Linked DNA regions of Callithrix jacchus. The protein of the gene in region 1 interacts with the protein of each later gene in a biochemical or structural test. Links are inferred from orthologs where the notes say so. Each region holds a gene or a part of one and is shown on either strand. Other genes may lie near its edges.

What was found.
Region 2: the proteins of SIN3A (region 1) and ZBTB16 form a complex in vitro, tested with the Homo sapiens proteins (3 studies listed by BioGRID). The link is inferred for Callithrix jacchus from reciprocal best matches to the Homo sapiens genes SIN3A and ZBTB16.
Region 3: the proteins of SIN3A (region 1) and MECP2 form a complex in vitro, tested with the Homo sapiens proteins (2 studies listed by BioGRID). The link is inferred for Callithrix jacchus from reciprocal best matches to the Homo sapiens genes SIN3A and MECP2.

Annotation. Positions count from the first base shown.
Region 1 is NC_133509.1:22,402,475-22,408,352, reverse strand, and holds the start of SIN3A (paired amphipathic helix protein Sin3a), read right to left. Parts: upstream 3,716-5,878; 5' UTR 3,535-3,715; intron 1-3,534. UniProt on the Homo sapiens protein: Acts as a transcriptional repressor. Corepressor for REST. Interacts with MXI1 to repress MYC responsive genes and antagonize MYC oncogenic activities. Also interacts with MXD1-MAX heterodimers to repress transcription by tethering SIN3A to DNA.
Region 2 is NC_133511.1:13,929,334-13,934,576, forward strand, and holds part of ZBTB16 (zinc finger and BTB domain-containing protein 16), read left to right. Parts: intron 1-651; coding exon 652-819; intron 820-3,457; coding exon 3,458-3,687; 3' UTR 3,688-5,243. UniProt on the Homo sapiens protein: Acts as a transcriptional repressor. Transcriptional repression may be mediated through recruitment of histone deacetylases to target promoters. May play a role in myeloid maturation and in the development and/or maintenance of other differentiated tissues.
Region 3 is NC_133524.1:149,944,136-149,949,378, forward strand, and holds part of MECP2 (methyl-CpG-binding protein 2), read right to left. Parts: intron 2,736-5,243; coding exon 2,385-2,735; intron 1,613-2,384; coding exon 529-1,612; 3' UTR 1-528. UniProt on the Homo sapiens protein: Chromosomal protein that binds to methylated DNA. It can bind specifically to a single methyl-CpG pair. It is not influenced by sequences flanking the methyl-CpGs.

The DNA of each region.
Region 1 (5,878 bases):
GGCTCTCCCACCGCCCCAGGAAGGTAAGTAACCGATGTGGGGTAAAATGTCTGTAAGTGAAACAGGCTCCGCCTACAGCACTGCCGGGCCAGGCCCCGCCCCAAGAATGGGATTGGTTATCTTGGCGCTGGTAGGACCCTCCATTGGCCTGGGCGCCCGTCTAGGAAGGAACTAATTCCGCCCTGCGCGGGGAGGCTGAACCTTAGCAGTCCTTTTGTGGAATGTTTACACTAGAGACTGAAGCTCGGAGTTCCAGGGCCTAAGACAGGACGCAGCGCGGAGCTCATCAGCAGACCCCCCCACATCCTAGGATTTGAATACGAAAGGCAGCCCACCCTGGAGGACGCCCTTACAAAAAAATGAGAGAATGAGAACTCATCGTCCCCATCTAGTTAGTTTACATTCTACATACAGCGTCCTCGTAAACACAAATACCCGGAGCAGCTGGCAATTCTTTTCAGCCAAGTAGAATACAGAACTAAGGTCTGGAGACCTAAGCAGAGAAATTACTCCAGGGGTATTCAGCCCACTCTCTAGAGCTGAAGATGCAGTCCTAGGAGGGCGGAGATAACCAAAAGAGAGGCGGGCCCTAACAGCCACCGCCCTGGCAAGCCTCCGGAGGGCGGAGCGTGAGGCACAAGTACTCACGATCTCCCCGGTGGATCTGGAGGCATCCTAAGAACTGAGAAAGGAGAGGAAAAGATTAAAACAGGCCACGGTATAAATTAACTTTGGGGTCATGTCACACTCAGAGAAAAGATAAAACTTCCGTAGTTGGGGACATAAAACGGCTGTTCACCTTCTCCTTGGCCAAGAGTGTTAATGGCAGTCCCTGTGCCCTCTCTGGTGTAGGTAACAGTGCCTCGAACACACAGTGAGACAAAGTGCTTTTAATTCCTAGTCTGCTTTTATTTATTCACCAAATAAAGCGTGGGCCTGAGCTGACTTCACTTTGAGGGGACACTCTCCCAGCGTCAGGAGAGGGGGCGGGATTAGGTTTTTACCGCACTCCAGAGGAAGCCGAATCCTCCTCCCAAGGGACAGGCACGGCGAACCCACTCCTGGGTCCAACTCTGTTCTCCCTCTGCAATCAGTGGAAATGGCCAGGAAAGAGCTCTGGCAGCAGGTGGGCCTGACTCCAGTGATGGCTTCGAGCCACAAAACCACGACAGCGAATTGTGAAGTTCAAGGGGAGTCGACAGGTGGGAGCAGCCTCGCCAGTAGCCAAGCCCTGTCCCGGAACGGAGCTCTAAAAATAAGACCAACGAAGCGACCCCTGGGCCAAACTGCTGGGATGCTAGGAGGAAGTGGCACTCCAGCAGAACCGACCCAAAACTCCTAACTTTGCGCCCCCTTCCACCACTAAACTGAGTATCACGGGGCAGGCTCACCATGGTATCAAAAACTACTCAGAACCCAAGCCAGCATTAGGCCGCTCACGACTTCCCGTGACCACAGGGTACTACCTGCGCTGGATCTCGCCAAAGGGTCCCAGGCCAGCGCTCTAGGTTGTCAAGAATCTTAGACACAGCCAACTAAGGACGGCAGCTACCTGCCTAGGGAAGAACAAACGCTTTCAGCGTCTACAGAGTTCTCAGTTTAAGCTCAGGGAAGTCAAGGGGCGCGGAAATAGACAAGCCACAGGGTCAGAACTTCAGTACTTGGCCCCGGCCACGAAGTGCAGATCTCAACCCCTGCAGAACCTCCGGAGCTTCGCTACCGAAATCCACTCCTCACTGTAATCCCCTGGCTTCACCCCGAAGGCTACCAAGTCTAGAGCCTCGGTGGAACCTTTGTGTGGCTTCTCGGCTATCCCCGCCCCCCTCGCCAAGGGCGCCGAGCCTAGGACTTCCGGGCGGGAGGGCAGTTCGAAGGAGCGAGGCGGGCCTCACACATGTGCCGAGCGCGCTCAAGAGCGAAGGGAGGAGGCGGGGAACAAGAGTGGACTTCCCACTCCAAGCTCGCAAAGCCGGAGGAGGCCGGGCTACTCGTCCCACCAATCAGAGGCGGGGGCGGGACCCTGCGCCTCTTGTCAGCGGCAGGAACCCTCCCTCCTCCCTCCGCGGAAAAAAAATCCTAGCAACTTAAACTCCAGCCCGGCCTCCCGATAGGCGGAGCTCGGGAGAATGCCATCCAATCCACTTCCGAGAAGGAGGAAAAAAGGGGGTCTCACCCAGCCAGTGGAAGACAAGAGAAGGCGGGGCCCCCGGGCGAGCCCGAGGTAGGTGGGAGAGAGGAAACGGACCCGCCCCTCAGCTCCCCTCCAGGCGGGTTGCACAAGCCGCCGGTGGAGTAGATAGTAAACAGTCTGGGTCGAGGAGTGTTGGCAGGGGCCGCCTGGCGCTCGGTGGACGGGAGCCCCTGCGCCGCCTCTCCCGGCGTTGCCCCGCCCGGCCGGGACGGTTCGCGCCGGCGCTCCGCCTACCCGCTCACGGCCGCCATCCCGGCTGACAGGCGCGCCCCCCGCGCCCCTCCCGCCCGCTGATGCATTTCCTTTTCCCGATTCCGAGCGTGGAGACTGTTTTCCCAGTTTCCGACCTTCACTGCCCCTTTCAGGCCACCCCCTCGTGGGCGCGCACACGCCCGCGCCCCCGCCCCATCCGCGCGGAGCGGCCCGCAGTGGCACCTCGCGGGAAGGGGGAGCCCGGCGGCGGCACGGCCGGGGGAGGGGAAAAGAGCAGCAGTCGCCGCCGCCGCCGCCTTGGGGTGGGCGGGGAAGCAGGCAGCTCCATGTTTGCAAGGAGATCAGCCGGGGCCGCGGGGCGAAGCCGCCGAGTTCCTGGGGGTTTTCCCCACCACCGGTGCGAGCTCCTCGCCGGCTCGCGGCCTGCCGGGTTCTGGCACCGAATGCTGATGACCGCTACGGCCGGGGAGTTCGGAGCCTCGGCAGCTCGCGGGGTTAGCGGCGAGGCGCAGCGGCTCTTTCCGGTGGCCTCTCCCGCCCCCGGCTACCCCTCCCGCAAGTCCGGTGTTGCCCCCGCCCCCCGAGTCCATAACAACCGCGGGCCCACTGTGCCCGCGCCTCTCCAGAGCGCGCCCACCGCCCCCTCCGACAAGTTTGCAGGCAGAAACAAAACCCTCGGGGCGGCTGCCGCCCTTGCTCAGCGTGGGTAGTCGGGAAAGCCGCGGGCCCCGGCTCGCTCGCTAACTCCAGCTCTCAAGCAACTCCGGGCGCCGCAAGCTCAATGGGCCCTGCCGACCATGCTCGAGCCGCCGCCCCCTGCCGAGCCTGCAAGCCGCAACCCGGGCCCGGTTCTAGTCGGCGTGTGGAATCCCCCTTTTCCTTCCTAATGTTTTTCTTTTTTTGAAAAAGGCACAACAGGAGCGGGGGTCTCCTGCCCGCCCCTTCTCCAGTACGCCGCCAAAACCTACCAAAACCGACTGCTCGGTGAGATAAACTAAGCGGCACTGCCGGCGCAGGGACGACCCAGGCCGGACCGACCCCCTCCCCACGGCTCCGGCCCGGCTCGAAACACACACACAGGCGAGCGGGCGGCGCCAAGAGCTCTCCTTCCTGGCCTGTCCCTCGCCTACCTCGGCCGCGGGACTCCGAGCCTCCCCTCAGCTCGGTCCCAGGGCCCGTGGGGCTCACACCACGTCGGGCCGGCCAGACCGAGCGGCCGGGGGATTAGCCCCCCAAACGACTGAGATTGGGGGGACCAAATTAAAAGCAGCTGTTTAACATACCTTCCGAGCCAGGCGAGGAGTCCTGAATGGGGGGGAACGCCCCCCACGGGCCATTGGCTCCCCGGAGCTCACGTCAGTCACCCTGGGCCCGCCTCCGCCCTTCGCCCCGCCTCTTCCCCTTCATTGAATGCTCCCTCCTTCCAAAAAATATAAATAAATTTATTAAACTAAACGCTAGTGAGAGACGTATCCGTGGTAGAGGCCCTTATAGCTTCCACACCGCCGACTGGAGTTTCTTGAGGTCCTCGGACTGGAAGGAGGCCTTCTGGGACTCGGAGATCTTCAGGGTGGATGCGGATGATGAGCCAGCCGGGCTACCCGGCCCCAACTTCCTTCACACACACAACCTATTTGGAGCTAGACAGTATAGGAGGTAGGTGCACCCTAGGCACTGGCTGAGGTGGGCAGACTCCTCTGGCTGTGTGACCTAACCGTGTCCGGTCCACTCTGTTAGGTAGACCTAAAAGCGAGTAACGCAAACGGGAAGCCCTGCTTCCGCGGGCAGCAGGCACTTGTCCCTACTGTGGGTGAGGCAGACATTCATACTGCATCTGCTGCTAGGTGCAGTTACAGACTGGGTGACGTGCTTACTCTACCCCTCCAAGGGCTCCAGATTCAGCCGAGGAGAGTCTACGTAAGGCACTAAGGCAAGGCAGGAATGTGTATGTAAATAGACATCCATAGGAGCTCAGAGAAGAGAGATTCCTTCTGCTGAAGGAAAATTGGTTTCATGGAGGAGGTGGCATTCAAGTTGGGTCTTAAAGATTTCATCAAGCAGAATTGGAGGGGCAGGTCATTGTCAGCAAAGGACACAAAGGGGTAAATGCAAAAAAATGACCTTCATATGTGGCTATAGCCATAAAAAAGGGTTGGGGGTGTGGAAATGGAACCACTTTACAACTTTTAGTTGGGTGAAATTCTTGGATGTGCACAGCCGAATATGCAGGCAGCACCGTCACAGGCCCACAACTATAGTGTAAGATGTTTGGCACCCTGGCAGAAAGATGGGTTCTGACGGTGGACTGAGAAGTGCCTATAAGCAGCAAGGGGAGGCCCAGAGGCTGTTGTAATACTGCGTTTGGAGACTACAGAAGTGCCTCTTGTGGAAGGAATAGCTGGGGGAAGAGAAGGCTTCTTTTCTCTATCCCAGCCACCCAGTCTGAAAGCTCTCCCCACCTTCAGCAGCCTGCAAGTCAAAGCTTTGACTCAGATCTTTCCTTGCATCATTTGCTTTATTTATCATAACTTCCCACCAAAAGGAGTTTCTGGGGGACACAAGCCACCCAACATGTCTGTGTTCCAGAGAGATGAGCCTACCTAGACCCACGGCACACAATGTGAAAAAAATACCTGTTTGTTGAGGCACTAAGAAAAAGGAAGTTAATGTGGATAAGGTGGGGTGTGCAGAATGTGAAGGACCTTGGAGTCCAGTGGGAAGAATGGGGGCCTGCTGCCTGTTAGGAAATTACTGGAAAATCTGTCCCAACAATTCAGGTGACAGGTAAGGAGGAATGACCAGAACAGTGACAATGGGTGAGAAGAATATTGAAGGACAGCTGTATTTGAGAAAGACTCAAGGGGAGTGGGTGAGTGATTCAGTGTGGGTAGGAGAGGGAAAGAGGTAGCCTGTGGCCTGCTGTGTGAAGAGATGATAGAGCTTGAGGCTACTAGTTAGGTAATCTGGGTCCTACACTTAGCATGGTCAGTGACTGGTGTTACAGTCTGTCTCTTCCTCCCTCTGAGCCTCAGTTTCCCTATGAAATGGGGGTGGAAATTGAAATAGAAAGAGAGGCTCTAAGGACCTCACTTAGAATCCAGGTGGGGAAAGCTTGCCATTGAGGAAACAGGGCAGGTGGAAAGAACTATTGATTTTGGAAGTGCAGTAGGTCCCCCCAAGTGGAGTCTAGAGACTAGAATATGCGCAGTAGCTGAGTTGGTTGAAATCACTGGGTGAAAGGTATGGAGAGGGAAAGGACAGGAGAAAAGGACTATGTGTTCAGTGGGAGATCCACACTGGCAGAGCCATGGAGGTTGAGATTCATCCTCCCTAGGGTGAGGATGAAGTTTTCCTTCAGAACAGAGATTCCAGCTGGACAACACAGCAAGACCCTGTCTCTACAAAATATTTAAAAATTAGTCATGCATGGGCCAGGCACAGTGGCTCATGCTTGTAATCCCAGCACTTTGGGAG
Region 2 (5,243 bases), on another chromosome or scaffold:
TTAAAAGAACGAAATTCTGGGCATTTCTTCTCTGTGGGGACACAGAGGAAAGTGTGAGTCATTTGGCCTGGGGAACTAAAGGGAAGTCCACACAGGGGTATGAACTGGGCTTTGAAGGATGATTAGGAGTTCACCAGGGAGAAAAGAAATTGAGCAGAGAAAACAGCTACGTAAGAAATTGGGGACTGTTGAAGGTATTTGGGAGACAACGTGAAGTTCCCCAAATTGGAGAGATTTCTTTGACTCCAGGCGGAGTCAGACTGGAGTGATTTTCACCCTTAACCTAGAGGAACGTGAGAAGAGGTCATCTAAGAAGCAGGATGGTGAGGTCTCAAAGCCCTGAGGCCTGCTGTATGTATCCACATGGGGGCATGCTTTCTGGGGGCTGCTGTCCATCCCTGAACCAAATGGGCTCTCTTTTCCCAGGACTGGCCCTTGCCCCACAGATGATCACGGGGCCACAGTAAAGTATGGACACATGTGAACACAGGTATTGCTTGTTTATTCAGTGGAGGTGTGGATCTTTAAGTTGTCTTTGGAGGTGGCAAATACAGGTTGTCTCATTCCTCTCATGCACTGAATGTGCCCTACTGTCTCCTGAAGAGGGGGCAAGGAACGGCAAAGACCTGATCCAGCCCCTTGTCCCCACAGGTGACCACCCCTATGAGTGTGAGTTCTGTGGCAGCTGCTTCCGGGATGAGAGCACACTCAAGAGCCACAAACGCATCCACACGGGTGAGAAACCCTACGAGTGCAATGGCTGCGGCAAGAAGTTCAGCCTCAAGCATCAGCTGGAGACGCACTATAGGGTGCACACAGGTACTGAGGGCCAGGGAGGGGCCTGAGCTGGCTCTCAGACCTGGGTGGAGGTGGAAAACCGATGGTCTGTCGGAGAAGCCTAAGTGAGAATGATCCCAGGCTGAACCAAAGAGTAGAAGAGGTTCTATTAAGGGCTGGTATGGTGGCCTGAGGACCATCACACCCCAGTCAAGGCCAAGGCAGACATTACTAATCAATCCCAGCACACTTTCCAATGAGATCCTGCCAGCCCTCCAGGCAGCTATACCAGTGGTTCAGAGGTGACATGCAAAATGATGTCTGTATGTGAGCACTTAGCTGAAAGTGAAGGTTAGGGTAATTTCAGTTGGAGTAAGAATTAGGGTGCATTGAATTAGGTTATTATGAAGGTCGGGAAATTGTAAAGTGAGCTCGTGTTTGGTTCTGAGATTAGAGGAGCAGATACATTTAATAATCCCTGTATGCATATGAGGTTTTACCATTTCAGAGTGCCTTTACATTCTTTTTTTTAAAAACTTTTACTCTTGTTGCCCAGGCTGGAGTGTAATGGCACAATCTCAGCTCACTGCAACCTCCACCCCCCAGGTTCAAGCGATTCTCCTGCCTCAGCCTCCCAATTACCTGGGATTACAGGCATGTGCCACCATGCCCAGCTAATTTTGTATTTTTTTAGTAGAGACAGGGTTTCGCCATGTTGGTCAGGCTGGTCTCAAGCTCCTGACCTCAAGTGATCTACCCACCTCAGCCTCCCAAAGTACTAGGATTTCAAGTGTGAGCCACTGCACCTGGCTACATCTTCTTTATATTGGACAAAGAAATATAGGCTACTCTTTTTCCTGAGGTCAGAAGACAAAATAAGCAGAGGGTCTTCCACAGTTTCCCAAGCTGGGGGCAGTGGAGTCCTGGAGCTGCACGTGCTTTGTGAAAGCTAATTTTTCAGATTTCTTCACAACTTCAAGTTCGGTGACCTCACCTTGGTTGCTCAAAATTGGCCCTGGGAGGAGTCGTCACATCATTGCAATTGGCAGATGCTACAAACCAGGGCTTTTTGGAAAGCCAGTTGTTAAACATTTACCACCAGCACACTGCTGGTTGTGGGGAAGGATGATTCACAGAAGAATAAGAGGTGGTGGAACTTGGAAAACAAAGATGCCCCCTCTGATCAGGGGAGACAGCTGTCCTGTCCAGAGGAAGGAGGAGAGGTGGCCTCAGGCAGGTCCTGCTGGCTTAGGGGAGAGTACATTGCCTTTAGAGGGGAAGGGTAGACCGAAGGAGCAGTAAGCAGAGCTGTGTGTTGTCAGAGCTCAGTATTCTTGCCCCAGTTTGAGCCCACAAGGAGAGGGTGAGGTGTCCATTGCTGACAACTACAGTGACCCAGAGGATTTCCCAGAGCCCTGGGGTTTCCCTAGCCCCTTGTCAGGGATGTGACCTGGCAGGTGGATCATTAACTGTATTGGCAGTGACTATTGTAAATAGCTGGTCGATAGTTAGATCACTTTGGCTGTTCATTACTTCATTATTTGCTGGGGCCTGTGCGTGGAGGAGTATTGATAGCGAGATGGCTGGCCAGTTAATTACTGTATTGAAACAAGGTTCTCTTACATCCTCTGCTCGCCTCCAGGGGACTCTGTGGAAGGAAAGTTGGGGTATAGAAGGCTAGGGTGTGGCTGTGCACTCCCAGGGTCTTTATTCCTCCCATCCCGCTCTACCCCCAATTCCAGCCTCAGGAGGGATGCAGGGTCTGCAGGGCAAGGTCTAGAGTTTTTAGCAGGATAGGCTGGGTGCAGTCGCTCACACCTGTAATCCCAGGACTTTGGGAGGCCGAGGCAGGCAGATCATTTGAGGTCAGGAGGTCAGGAGTTCAAGCCCAGCCTGGCCAACATGGTGAAAACCTGTCTCTACTAAAAATACAAAAATCAGGCCGGCGTGGTGGTGGCACCTGTGATCCCAGCTACTTGGTAGGCTGAGGCAGGGGATCGCTTGAACCTGGGAGGCGGAGGTTGCGGTGAGCTGAGATTGTACCACTGCTTTCAAGCCTGGACAACAGAGTGAGACTTTGTCTCAAAAGAAACAGCTTTAGCAGGATACATGTCCCCAGGTGTAGCATACTTGAAGGGGACACTCGGGGTTCCCTCAGTTTCCCCCCACCTCTGCTCCCCACCATCTGTAGCCCTGAAAGGTCTTGATCCACCTACTCCCTGGATGGAACTGTGGCTTGTGGCTTGAAGAGCCATTCCTGAGGACTTTGGGACCTTTCTCCTTCTAGACATCCATTTTCTTAATTAGAAAGGGAAAGACTTTGGCCTCGGGAGAGTTGAGAATAGTAAGATAAGGAGCTGGGCAATCCAGTAGATTATTAGTAAGACAAGTAGAATAGTAAGACAAGGAGCTGGGCAAACTAGCTACGTGTAGCTATTTAATTAGTTACCATGAAATAAAAATTGGAAAACTGTAGAGCCCCGGTCGAACCAGCCTCGTTCACAGCCGTGTGTAACTGGTGGCTGCCATCTGGGGTGGTACCTTGGTTGTCCCAGGAAGTTCTGTTGGAGTAATCCCTGCTGCAGGAGCCCAGCTTCTCCGGCACCCCCGAGGATGACTTGGGGCCCTCACTGCCCTCTGTCTGTCCTCACTTTCTCCTGCCCCATCTCCCTACCCTCAGGTGAGAAGCCCTTTGAGTGTAAGCTCTGCCACCAGCGCTCCCGGGACTACTCGGCCATGATCAAGCACCTGAGAACACACAACGGCGCCTCGCCCTACCAGTGCACCATCTGCACCGAGTACTGCCCCAGCCTCTCCTCCATGCAGAAGCACATGAAGGGCCACAAGCCCGAGGAGATCCCGCCCGACTGGAGGATAGAGAAGACGTACCTCTACCTGTGCTACGTGTGAAGCGGGGCCCGTGGCGGTGGAGCCAAGCAGGGAGCCAGGAAAGAAGAGTTGGAGCAAGATGAAGTCAAGGAAGGACTGTGAAAAAGAAAAAAAGGAAAAGAAAAAAAAAGAGAAGAGAAAGGAAACCTGATAGCTTTTTGGCCTTGGATTCTCTCTGGGCTCCAGATGACCTGGATGCCAAGCCACTGCCCCTCCTCTGGGGGCCTCCACCCTCCCCTCCCGGCTGGAGGTTTGCCTGATTTTCTGCTATGGGGTGGGGTATGTCGTTCACTCAAATGGCGGCAGATTTTTCTCCTCCCTCCACCCAGTCCTTCCTTTATGTATCCAGAAACGGAGGCTAAGAAGCAGGTGAGCGGTCCTCTGGTAAGAGCCACACAGTCTCTGCCGACCTTCCTCCCCCAGCCCCCCAGAAGATGAAGGGAGGGAAGATGGGGCTGGGCAGCGTCACTAGTTGCTCAAATGGGGCTGCAGATGGGGCTGGGCTGGGTAGTTGCTCAAAATGGCAACTCCAGTTTGCTGGAGGCCAACTGGGGAGAGGAAGGGGTCTGTTTCTCTTCCCACCACTCAGCCCACCTGCTGCTTCCTCTGCTCTGCCACATCTGGGTGTCCCCTGGTGGTCTCGGAGAGCCTCGAGGCCCCTCCCCCCCAGCTCTTTGTTCCCAGCCTCCCCTTGACTCCTGTCCTCCAAGTCCCAGGGGAGTCCCCGCCCCTCAGGGACCTAGCGGTGTCTCCATCCTTCTCCACTTCCCTAGTGGGACAGCTGCCTCTGACTCCAGAGCCCTCCTACCCTCAGCCTTCTGAGAACACAAAACAAATCGAATACCCCACCCTAGTCCAGCCCCATCGTGAGCAGGATTCCTGCTGCGCTGCTTCCAAAATGGAAAAGCATCACAGCTAAATATCTAATGTCCTACCAAACAAACAACAGTCCCTACAGTGGCCCCCTCTTCAGTCCCATGGAGGGTTTATGATCCAAGGGAAGGCTGTGGATGTCTTTCTCTAGAGGGGCCCTCACCTGGAGAAGAGGACACCCCACCCACCTGCCCGCCCGTCAGCCCACCAGCCCGCCTGGGCTGAGGGAAGCTGGGCAAGGCAGGAAGTTGCTGAGTCACACTGGGGACCCCAGAAGTGGTGAGCTCAGCAAGAAAACCCAGGTTGAGAGAGAGTACCACAGAATTCCTGACTCACAGGGCTCCTCGGTCCACAGTGGGGAGGAGGAGAAAGAGGAGGAGGAGGAGGAGGAGAAAGAGGAGGAGGAGGAGGAGGAGAAAGAGGAGGAGGAGGAGAAAGAGGAGGAGGAGGAGGAGGAGTTGAAAGCGCTTTGGCCTTGTGTTATGTTTTGCTTCTTTTCTGTGTCCCTTGTTAGCACATTGTACTTGAATTACCTCAGTTTTTTGTGACCTCATGAGCTTTTTTAACCTCTGTATCTCTTTTTTGGTTGGGGCTTGGAGGAATGGGGAGGGTGTTCTTTTCTGTTTCTTGTGTAAATTAATAGTTGTTTTTATAGCCTTCAGCTGGCCAAGGCCCTCCCCATGCCCCTGGAGACCAGCCTCCCA
Region 3 (5,243 bases), on another chromosome or scaffold:
ATGGGCCATAGCCAGTGATCATAGCCATCTTCTCTAAACAAGCCAACTGTCTCTCCTGCCTCACACCTCCCTGTCCCAACATGGTTGGGAGTGGGGGAGGTGGGGGGAGCTGGGGGAGCTGTAGACAGAGCACTGATGGCACCGAAAAAGGGAGTGTCCTCTCAACTGTCTCTAACGACCACATGGGGGAAAGGTTTGGGCAGGAAGGGAGGTGCCTGGTCAACAGCTTGTCTGGTCAGTAGTATCTGCAGCAAGCCTTGTTGAAGGAGCCTAGTTTAGAAAAGTGCAAAGCTACTTCCGGCCCTGGTTAGGTCTTCAACCTGACTGTGCTTGTCGGTAAGAAAAACATCCCCAATGCTCCAACTACTCCCACCCTGAAGCCACGAAACTCTAAGTTTACTGAAAGAAAAAAAAATATTTTTTATTTCAGTTAATCGGGAAGCTTTGTCAGAGCCCTACCCATAAGGAGAAGAGACAACAGCTGCCTTTATTCTTGTTGGTTTGCTTTGCAATCCGCTCTGCGTAAAGTCAGCTAACTCTCTCGGTCACGGGCGTCCGGCTGTCCACAGGCTCCTCTCTGTTTGGCCTTGGCATGGAGGATGAAACAATGTCTTTGCGCTCTCCCTCCCCTCGGTGTTTGTACTTTTCTGCGGCCGTGGCGGCGGTAGCGACCGCGGGCTGAGTCTTAGCTGGCTCCTTGGGGCAGCCGTCGCTCTCCAGCGAGCCTCCTCTGGGCATCTTCTCCTCTTTGCAGACGCTGCTGCTCAAGTCCTGGGGCTCAGGGGGGCTGGTGGGGTCCTCGGAGCTCTCGGGCTCAGGTGGGGGTGGGGGCAGGGGTGGGAGCAGTGGCACGGGGGCCTTTGGGGACTCTGAGTGGTGGTGATGGTGGTGGTGCTCCTTCTTGGGGGGCGAGGAGGCGCTGCTGCTGCGCCCCTTGGGGCTGCTCTCCTTGCTTTTCCGCCCTGGGCTCTTACAGGTCTTCAGTCCCTTCCCACTCTTCTCACCGAGGGTGGACACCAGCAGGGGCTTCACCACTTCCTTGACCTCGATGCTGACCGTCTCCCGGGTCTTGCGCTTCTTGATGGGGAGTACGGTCTCCTGCACAGATCGGATAGAAGACTCCTTCACGGCTTTCTTTTTGGCCTCGGCAGCAGCGGCTGCCACCACACTCCCTGGCTTTCGGCCCCGTTTCTTGGGAATGGCCTGAGGGTCGGCCTCGGCTTTTCGCTTCCTGCCAGGGCGTTTGATCACCATAACCTGGGTGGATGTGGTGGCCCCACCCCCCTCAGCCTTGCCCCCTGGCGAAGTTTGGAAAGGCATCTTGACGAGGAGCTTCCCAGGGCTTTTCTCCAGGACCCTTTTCACCTGCACACCCTCTGACGTGGCCGCCTTGGGTCTCGTTGTGCCGCTCCCTTTGGGGCGTCCCCGGCCTCTGCCAGTTCCTGGAGCTTTGGGAGATTTGGGCTTCTTAGGTGGTTTCTGCTCTCGCCGGGAGGGGCTCCCTCTCCCAGTTACCGTGAAGTCAAAATCATTAGGGTCCAGGGATGTGTCGCCTACCTTTTCGAAGTATGCAATCAATTCCACTTTAGAGCGAAAGGCTTTTCCCTGGGGACTGTGAGGACAAATGGAAAGACACAAAAAACAATTAGAGGTTCCCCATGGCAATGTCAGAGATAGGGCAGAGCGGATGGTGGTGACAACGCTCTGATAAATGTTACTATTGAACAAGAATCACACTGCCTAGCTGCCCCTGAGGATCTGTCTGTCACCAAAGACACTCACTCATCTCCCTGCCCCTGACTCCCCAGGCCTCTCCAAAGTCCAGCAACCAAAGAGTCAGGCCTGGTACAGAGGGGCTGTTGGACTGAGGCCCATTCTGCTGCTTGGTGCCTGGGCCTGAGTCACCATCTGGAACATTCCTGGGCCTGAGTCACCATCTAGAACATTCCTAATTCTGAACTCGGGTATGGTGCTCAAACTCTCTGGGAATCAGTTTCAACAAGATAATCCTTTGCTCACTCTTCTCAGGGTTATGGAATTAAATGAGGCTATCTGCCAATGTCATGTGAAAACTGCTAACCTTTTTGGGATCATTTAAGGGGCACAACAGAAATATGCTTCTTCACTCCTCCTCAGAACCCCTGGCTCTGCAAGTTCCTCTGCTTCTGCAGCTATTCCATCTCCAGATAAGAACTCGAGGCGCGGAGAGGATAGAGGACATTGACCTCTGCACACAGTCATTTCAAGCATACCTGCTCTTGGTGTTCACTGTTTATGGTCCCCCCACCCCCGTTGTGGGGTTAGGCACTACATTTTCCTGCTCCATGAGAGATCCCCGTCTCTGCCCTCCCTGCCCTGTAGAGACAGGAGTTGCTCTTACTTACTTAATCAAATACACATCATACTTCCCAGCAGAGCGGCCAGATTTCCTTTGCTTAAGCTTCCGTGTCCAGCCTTCAGGTAGGGTGGGGTCATCATACATGGGTCCCCGGTCACGGATGATGGAGCGCCGCTGTTTGGGGGAGGCAGAAGCTTCTGGCACGGCTGGGGCGGAGCCTGACCCTTCTGACGTCTCCGCTTTGCCTGCCTCTGCGGGCTCGGCAGAGTGGTGCGCTGATGGCTGCACGGGCTCATGCTTGCCCTCTTTGTCTTCTTTCTTATCTTTCTTCACCTTTTTGAACTTGAGGGGCTTGTCCTTGAGGCCCTGGAGATCCTGGTCTTCTGACTTTTCTTCCCTGAAGTGTTAAACAAGTATGTAAGTATCACAAAGAACATGCTAGTCTGCAGAACAAATGAGCAGTGGCAGGCTTGGACGCTCACCACATGCAAGGCCCTGGTCCATCATACACTCAGATCTTGATGTCCTTCTCCAGGACAACAGGGCCTCAGGCCAAGCTGGGACCCAAATATTTCTTTAGGAACTTGGGCCCTGGTGGTGCTGGCCGGCGTGGCCGACCTGCACTGTGGCCACCTGCAAGTTTCACTCCTGGCATTGCAGAAGAGTCGGAGCCCTTTCCTCTGAGCAGAATCACTGCGTGGCTCCTGAGCATCCCACCCCAGCATGAGTCGCACCTCACAGGCCTCTGGGCTCGATGCCTGACAAGAGACTGTCAAATGCTGGAAAGGGAGTCAAATGGGGGTGGGGGTCTCCTTTGTGAAGGCCAGGGCTTGGGCGTCTTTTTGGTTTTCTAGAATAAATCCTCAATGAGGCACACCATAGTGTTACGGAAAGCACAGGTTTGGAGCCAAACTGCACTCAAATCCTTTGCCAGTTTCCAAACATGAACCCCAGCAAATGACCTCAGCCTTCTGTGCCTCCGTTTCCTTATCTTGACAATGGGTAAACCCATCTGGGCATCCTTAGTGTGAGCATCATGGGAGAAAAGGTACAATGGCACTATAAAAATAATGGCTAACTCAGGTCACAAGAAACTGCCACCCAGGTTCTGGGGTGATAAGAGAAGTGCTCCCAGGTGGCGTGAGCCTTTAACACAAGACATTCCCTGACAAGGAATAGCCTCAGCCACAGCAGATGCAGAGGGAAGAGCAAGGAAAAAGGGGTGGTCCAGGTAGAGCCATGTGTCCCGTTCCTGCTGGTGCAGAAGAGCACCCTTCCTATTCTAGGATGGGAGTCCTCCCCATTCTTTTCTGGTGACAGAAGCAGCTCCCTTCTCTGCACATCACTTTGGCCTGGTAGGGTCTCTTCAGAAATGGCCACCGTGAGGCCCCAGGCCCCAGAATCAGTGTCTGGCCATGATGCTTTACTAACCTGTCTAGTATGCCACCATGAAACCTCCTAGGACTTCAGAGTCTCAGCAACAACAGGGGCAGCTTGGAAAGCAGCAGCCACCTGCGAGTCCCTTCATTAGCAGTTCATTCTGGAAAAGAGCCTGACTATCCTGCGCTCCAGGTTCTCAGCCCCACAATTCCCCTGTCCCACGTGGTTCATCAGTGCTGGTCACCGTCTTGTGGCTGGTCTACCCGAAGAGACTCCCCCTCTTGTCTACACTGCACAGACTGTTCAGTGAGGGCACCACGGCACACACTGGCAAGCATCCTTGGGAAACCAGGACTCAAATGATGTAGGGAAATTACTGAAGGCTGGTTGGCACTGGGAGTCAGAAGCTACAAGGACATACCTCTCCAGAACCGTTAGGTCAGGTGTAGGGAGGCAAGAGCAGCTCCAATCTAGTGACAAGGTCTTAGAGTGAGGGAATGTCTTGTCCCCACTGTAACTCACCCCTGAGTTTCTCCCAAACTGTAACTTCCTCCAGCAGTTTAGGGGCCAAGGCGTGGCTGCCGAGTCACTGCATATTAAGAGGCATCCTACAACCCACAGAGCAGTCTTACTTATTGTAAAGTGGAGGTCCCTAATCTGTTCCAGTACAGAGCTCTCAATGTGAAATGATAAAGAACCCTGGGGAGCTAGGTGTGGCCTGTGGCCCATCCAAGATCAGCCTCTGAGAATGGCCCCCTAGGCAGTTCCCCATAAAGGAGGGAGAGAAGGGGAGCCACCGGCAGAGTGGGCCAACAGAGCAGACAGACGGGAATCAGTACTTCCACACAATCCATCATGGCACTGCCTAATGCCACAGCTGCTCCTTGGAACCTGGACGGTCCTGATGTCAGAGAAAAACAGTGAACTACTGGAAAAGATCTGGCTTCTTCGAAACTCTCATTTGCATTCCCGAATACCCTAATCACCATGAGGTCAAAGTATAAACCTAAATGTGACCTAAGGAATGCTTTCTAGAAATCTATGCTAGAGACACCTCCAAAAATCTCAAAGAACATATGCATGATATTATTTGCTACAGCATTATTTTTACCAGCCAAAGGCTACAATCCCTCAGATCCCTATCACCAGGGAACTTATTGAATAAACTATGGTGCACCCACACACTGGAGTACTGTCCAGCTCCAAATGGACTAAACAAGAGCTCCAAACACTGTGATGGAGCGATTTTAGGTAAGAAAGGGAGATTAGGGAAGGACATACCAAGAACTAATGAAACTGGCTCCCTGGATGGGGCAGTGGGAACAAGTTGAGGGTACAGGCACAGGAGTGAGACCTAGCTGAATCAGTGTCATTGTGACTTCTGAATCATGTAAAAGTTTATATTATCCCAAATAAAATTCAAAAAGTAACAAAACCTCATTACACTGAATGCAAATAGAAACAAATGAGCTTGGGCCAGACATGGTGGCTTCAGCCTACAATCTCAGCATTTTGGGAGACTGAG